2 linked regions of the Neurospora crassa OR74A genome follow. The protein of the gene in region 1 purifies or fractionates together with the protein of each later gene. This does not show direct contact. Links are inferred from orthologs where the notes say so. Each region holds a gene or a part of one and is shown in the gene's direction. Other genes may lie near its edges.

What was found.
Region 2: the proteins of scon-2 (region 1) and NCU00018 purify together in Saccharomyces cerevisiae (affinity purification with western blotting, with the first as the bait; 3 studies listed by BioGRID). This does not show direct contact. The link is inferred for Neurospora crassa OR74A from reciprocal best matches to the Saccharomyces cerevisiae genes MET30 and CDC48.

The regions. Positions count from the first base shown.
Region 1 is NC_026503.1:4,901,024-4,903,499, forward strand, and holds the end of scon-2 (sulfur controller-2 protein), read left to right. Parts: intron 1-15; coding exon 16-120; intron 121-178; coding exon 179-1,071; 3' UTR 1,072-1,856; downstream 1,857-2,476. UniProt on the Saccharomyces cerevisiae protein: Substrate-recognition component of the SCF(Met30) complex, an E3 ubiquitin ligase complex that mediates the ubiquitination and subsequent proteasomal degradation of target proteins. Negatively regulates sulfur amino acids biosynthesis genes expression.
Region 2 is NC_026503.1:2,304,754-2,308,967, forward strand, and holds the start of NCU00018 (cell division control protein Cdc48), read left to right. Parts: upstream 1-1,351; 5' UTR 1,352-1,781; coding exon 1,782-1,837; intron 1,838-1,929; coding exon 1,930-1,957; intron 1,958-2,023; coding exon 2,024-2,079; intron 2,080-2,133; coding exon 2,134-2,383; intron 2,384-2,449; coding exon 2,450-3,941; intron 3,942-4,000; coding exon 4,001-4,214. UniProt on the Saccharomyces cerevisiae protein: ATP-dependent chaperone which probably uses the energy provided by ATP hydrolysis to generate mechanical force to unfold substrate proteins, disassemble protein complexes, and disaggregate protein aggregates.

The DNA.
Region 1 (2,476 bases):
ACACATTGCTGACAGGGAACATTGAGACTGAGGAGTGCATTCGGACCCTTGTCGGCCATACGGCTGGCATTCGTGCACTACAGTTTGACGATTCGAAGCTCATCAGTGGCAGTCTTGACCGTATGTTGCGCAACCCGCCTTCAATGATAGCGTGGCAATGTTGCTAACTGATTCGTAGACACCATCAAGGTCTGGAACTGGCATACCGGCGAGTGCCTCTCCACGTTCGCTGCCCACACCGACTCAGTGATTAGCGTTCACTTCGATGGCCACCTACTCGCCAGTGGGTCGAGCGACAAGACGGTCAAGATTTTCGACTTCAACTCCAAGGAGACATACTGCCTCAAGGGCCATAGCGATTGGGTCAACTCGACCCATGTTGACATCAAGAGCCGAACCGTGTTCTCCGCCTCGGATGACACGACCATCAAGCTGTGGGATCTGGACACGCGCCAGGTTATCCGGACCTACGAAGGACATGTCGGCCATGTGCAACAGGTCCTCATCCTCCCGCCCGAGTATGAGCCCGACGAGGAGGTGCTCAACGGTGCTTCGCAAGACAACCAAGACGCCATGTCAGTATCATCGGGCGGAAGCGGAAGCCCCTCCATGTCGCATGCACAAATCGAGCGCGCCGGCAGCCCTGGCAGCCATAGCTCCAGCCACAACCTGCTACCGAGCAGCCTGCCTAGTGGTGACGAGGACGTGCGCCATCTCTATGGATCCGCCTTTGTAGCCGACGAGTCACGGCCACTTCCCCCGCGCTATTTCATGACAGGCGGGCTCGACAGCACCATGCGTCTCTGGGACAGCGCGACCGGTCGGTGTTTGAGGACGCTGTTTGGCCACCTCGAGGGCGTTTGGTCTTTGGCGGGAGATACGATCCGTGTGATCAGTGGAGCCAACGACGGCATGGTCAAGACGTGGGAGCCGCGCAGCGGAAAGTGCGATGCGACGTATACGGGCCACTGCGGACCCGTGACTTGTGTCGGGCTGAGCGATAGTCTAATGGCCAGTGGCAGTGAGGATGGAACGATTCGGTTACATTCCTTCAAGCCCTGTCGGCAGTGAGGTGGTGGCTGGGGTTTCCGTCACTTGGGAACGATGAGAGCATGTCGGGTTTCAACTACCCATGTTGACTGCTCTTGCATCTTCCTCCAATTTTGGATATCCCGGATACGCCATCTTCACCTATCAGCGTCCTCGCATTTCTTTCCTCTTTTTTTTTTCTTCTTCTTCTTCTACTACTCCACCCTCTATGCGATCTCAGACGCAACTTTTCTTTTTGTGTTTTTTTTGCTTTCAACAAAACATTGCCTCTCCCCAAGAAGGGAACAAAGGAAGGCAGATTAGTTTTGGGTCAACTTGCAAGCATAGGTTACAGCGTCATGTGTTTTACAAGTTAGGCATCTGAGATGGGATCTCAAAAGCAGCCAGGCACTTATAGTGAGTGATACAGAAAAGGAAAAGGGGGGGCGTCATTTTGCATGGTTTTGGAAGGATATATCCTTGGGGGATGGTTGGTTGGTTGGATGGAGTTTTATGATTTGGCTTTTGTTTACTTTTTTTGTTCTAGTTCTATACCCTCTTGCTTCGTTTGGTGGTGTGATAGTATGATTTGAAATAATGAAAGATAAGATGGTAGTTTGGAATGGGACGAATATATGGAGTCGTTCATGTTGAAGTGCTTCGTTGGTGAACCGAATATATGTACATTCAGTGACGGCGATGCTTCGGATCTGTAATGAGATTGTCTTTTTGTGTATGTAGTTCATGGTCTCACCATCGGTTCTCGAGAATGACTGGATAGGTACCTAGCGAAAAGTTGGAATCATGTTCCGTTTCCACATGGTATCAACTTGCGCGAAAATCAATGTCTGTCCCACGTGTAACTAACTCTTCATCGTAAGGTTCATTTGGCGTACGTACAGGTATCATGATGTTAAATTTGCATGTCTGGTATTTGTTCCCCGCTTTCCTTCACCAAAATCCGTCCCGTTCACGATTAGATCCCAATCGAGTGTAGAGGTACGTAAGTAGTGAGTGAGTAACAATGATGAACGAAGCAAATGGAAGGAAAGATGGGACGCGCAACCCGTTTCTCCTTCGTACTAGTACTGTACCGACACTCCTCCCTTTTCCTTCATTACTACCGACGTCCGGAAGTGGTAGAGGTACCTTTTCGCGCAACTTGACATTTCGCATGGCTCCTTCCTCCTTCGTGAATATGAGCGGATGGATTCATTTCACTTGCCCGGACATTACGCAACGCAACGCAACGCACAGCAGAGGCAGGAACGAACGTCGAACGGGGCCCGGACGATTGTAGTGGAAGGTGTTTGTTATCAATGGATCTCGATTTTTAATGAGAGGAGGAGGAAACAGTGAGGGAATGAATGGCTGAAGATGGGAAGGCGCATTCATTTAAGTTGACTTTTTACTCGCAAACAGTGAACGGTCAGTGATGAAAGATCTG
Region 2 (4,214 bases), about 2.6 Mb from region 1:
CGTGACTGGGGTGGGTAGGGGCAAGTTGGGTTGGAAGGCAGAGGGCCGGGTGTAGTTGACTGAATATAGGTAGTCCTCATGTCTAACGAGCTGTGCCCGGAAAACTGCCAAGCCTTGCTCACACTGACTCCACGAGAGTGAACGTCGTTGAAGTCGAGGCTGGTTTGATTGTTAGTCTGTTGCCTGAAAGGAAATGCCACACCCTCCGAGCTCCAGCCCCATTCTGGCTCAATGCGTGTTGTACAGTAGGTAGTAACGGTATATCGGATCCGGATCGTGGAGGCATTGGACTATGGGACCTTGAGGTCCCTTTGGACTCTGAATGGCCAGGTGGGCGGCGCGCCGCAGCGTCTTTGGGGTCACCATGTACAGCGGGGTAGCTAACACCCATGGTACTACACTACTGTAGTGTATGTATGTAGTACGTTACAAGGGTACCGAGCTCCCTGGCTTCTAGCCCCGCCTTCTTCCAGCCGGGCGCCGAGCAGTCCGGGGAGAGACTCCGGGACGTACTGGGTATCGGCGTGCCGGGGCGGAGCCGTATGGCCGGCGCGCGCCTCGTATAAGCACGGGCGGGGACGTGTCCTACAACCCCTGAGGACCCGGTTCTCGGTCGGGTCGAGGGTCGTCGTTTGCTCTTGTCACTCGCTTGCTCCACCCAAAGTGGCATGCGGGTTCCTGCGACGTCCGGACAAACGGACTCTCTCGAATCTCGATAAGACGACAGTTGCAGCCTGCCAACTTTCCGCGTGTTGTCCTGTTCCATTTCGTTTTCTGTGATACCTACCTAGCAGCATCGTTGGCCTGTGGCCTCTGTACAGGCCATCCGGTGGTGCATGCGACAACCACTGACCGCCTTGTTGTCCGTACTGCGGGGGAGGGGCAAATAGGAAATCCCAGGGCAGCATGTCTCGCTTCCTTGGAGAGACCTGACAGCCTGGCCATCTGGACATCGGTGCTCGAGCGGTGCTGCAGCATCCGAACCTCGATTCACTGTAAATCTCGAACTGAAGAAATGGAACGAACCCCAAGTCAAACAAGATGAAGCTTTGATCTGTCAGCAGCTTTGTAGAACGCATTCGAAGGTTCCGGCCGCACCGTTGCTTTACCAGGTGTGTCGGGCGACCTGAAGATCCTCGGAGCGATGGCAGAAGGCGTGCCTGGAGCCCGGAACAGCCAGGGCATGGAAGCAGACAGAGTGGCAGAATGGAAGTGTACCTATGGGCGAAAAGCACGGACCTTTGTCGCCCCAGAAAAGGCTCCGCTCATACTTCGTCATCCAAATGGTCGCCTGGCGGGGCGGTTTGTCAGTCAGTGACACTGACAGTTGAATCAGATGCCCGCTGTTGCTGTTGCCGCTCCCCAGCTGCTGGCCACCAGCTGCTTGCCCCTGGTTGGCTGGCCTTGGAGGGAGCAAGCGGTCGGTGCCACTCGCCGGCGCAGCGGTGCTTGCTTGCTTGCTTGCTTTGGCTCGAACCGTCCTTTCCATGCCTGGCCGTGACAACCTGAACGTAAACGAAACCAACTCCAACACCAAAACGCAAAGGCACTTCGTCCCTCCGACTGGTCCTTTTTTTTGTTTCCATCCCAACACCATTCACCTTCACCTCGCCGTCCAACCTCCAAAGAATCCCTTTATCAGCGGGTCTTGAGGCTACGAATTCTGGTTTCTTTTTCTCCAAAACCACTTCTTCCCGCTACATCCTCTCCGTGGATTAGCATCACCGTCCGCGATACCCAAATACCACATTTATTCTACTGATTCCAACACAAACGTCAAGATGGCTCCCGAACCTAATCCCGACCACGTCGAGCAGAAGAAGAAGGTCAACTTGATGTACGTGAAGCAGCGACGCTGATCGCGGGAGCTCTCGAAGCTGTCGCGCCCCCTCATCGCGAATGACGCCAAGCTGACTTGAAGCCAAACAGGGACGCTTCTGGTGCCGAGCACAAGGCCGTATGTTCAACCTCGCTTGCCCGCCAAAGACATCTCGAGAACCACTCGTGCTGACCGATGGAACAGGAAGATGATACCGCCACTGCTATTCTCAAGAAGAAGAAGAAGCCCAACCAGTTGATGTAGGTTGACGTTGAAGATGCGGGGCACTGCAACCTGAGCTAACACATATGCAGGGTTACTGACGCCGTCAACGATGATAACTCGATTATCGCCCTCTCCAACAACACCATGGAGCAGCTCCAGCTCTTCCGTGGTGATACCGTTCTCGTCCGCGGAAAGAAGAGAAAGGACACCGTCTTGATTGTTCTTGCCGATGACGATCTTGACGATGGCAGCGCACGCCTCAACCGTGTCGTTCGCCACAACCTCCGTGTCAAGCACGGCGACATCATCACCATTCACCCTTGTCCCGATATCAAATATGTTAGTCTATAACCCGGTCACCTAGTCATAGAATGGGCACCTTGCTGACACAGCATCTCCTTGTAGGCCAAGCGTATTGCCGTCCTCCCGATCGCCGATACCGTTGAGGGCATCACCGGATCTCTCTTCGACGTCTTCCTTGCTCCCTACTTCCGCGAGGCCTACCGCCCTGTCAGGCAAGGCGATCTCTTTATTGTCCGCGGTGGTATGAGGCAAGTCGAGTTCAAGGTCGTCGAGGTGGACCCACCAGAGTACGGTATTGTCGCTCAGGATACCGTCATCCACTGCGAGGGCGAGCCCATCCAGCGTGACGAGGAGGAGAACAACCTCAACGAGGTTGGTTACGATGATATTGGTGGTTGCCGTAAGCAGATGGCTCAGATCCGCGAAATGGTTGAGCTGCCCCTCAGGCATCCTCAGCTTTTCAAGTCCATTGGTATCAAGCCGCCCCGTGGTGTCCTGCTTTATGGCCCTCCTGGTACCGGTAAGACTTTGATGGCTCGCGCTGTTGCCAACGAGACTGGTGCCTTTTTCTTCTTGATCAACGGCCCCGAGATCATGTCCAAGATGGCCGGTGAATCCGAGTCGAATTTGCGCAAGGCTTTCGAGGAGGCTGAGAAGAACTCGCCCGCTATCATCTTCATTGATGAGATCGACTCGATCGCCCCCAAGCGTGAGAAGACCAACGGCGAGGTTGAGCGCCGCGTCGTCTCCCAGCTCCTTACTCTCATGGATGGTATGAAGGCCCGTTCCAACGTTGTTGTTATGGCTGCCACCAACCGTCCCAACTCGATCGATCCCGCTCTCCGTCGTTTCGGCCGTTTCGATCGCGAGGTCGATATCGGCATCCCCGACCCTACCGGTCGTCTTGAGATTCTCCAGATCCACACCAAGAACATGAAGCTTGCCGATGACGTCGATCTCGAGCAGATTGCTGCTGAGACCCACGGTTACGTTGGTTCTGATATTGCTGCCCTCTGCTCCGAGGCTGCCATGCAGCAGATTCGTGAGAAGATGGATCTCATCGATCTGGACGAAGACACTATCGACGCCGAGGTCCTTGACTCTCTTGGTGTTACCCAAGAGAACTTCCGCTTTGCTCTCGGTGTCTCCAACCCCTCGGCTCTTCGCGAGGTTGCCGTTGTCGAGGTTCCCAACGTCCGCTGGGAGGATATCGGTGGTCTCGAGACTGTCAAGCAGGAGCTCAGGGAGAGTGTCCAGTACCCCGTCGACCATCCCGAAAAGTTCCTCAAGTTTGGCCTTTCGCCATCTCGCGGTGTTCTTTTCTACGGTCCTCCTGGTACCGGTAAGACAATGTTGGCCAAGGCTGTTGCCAACGAGTGCGCAGCCAACTTCATTTCCGTCAAGGGTCCCGAACTGCTTTCCATGTGGTTCGGTGAGTCTGAGAGCAACATCCGTGATATCTTCGACAAGGCTCGCGCTGCTGCTCCTTGCGTCGTCTTCCTCGACGAGTTGGATTCTATCGCCAAGGCCCGTGGTGGCTCTGTTGGTGATGCTGGTGGCGCTTCTGACCGTGTTGTTAACCAGCTTCTTACCGGTAAGTTGATTCTTCCTTGGTTTGTGCCATTCTGCTGTGCATACTAACCTGAGCTATAGAAATGGACGGCATGACCTCCAAGAAGAATGTTTTCGTTATTGGTGCTACCAACCGTCCCGAGCAGCTCGACCCAGCGCTCTGCCGTCCCGGCCGTCTCGACTCCCTCATCTACGTTCCCCTTCCTGATGAGGCGGGTCGTCTCGGTATTCTCAAGGCTCAGCTCCGCAAGACCCCTGTCGCTGCCGATGTTGACCTGAACTACATCGCTTCCAA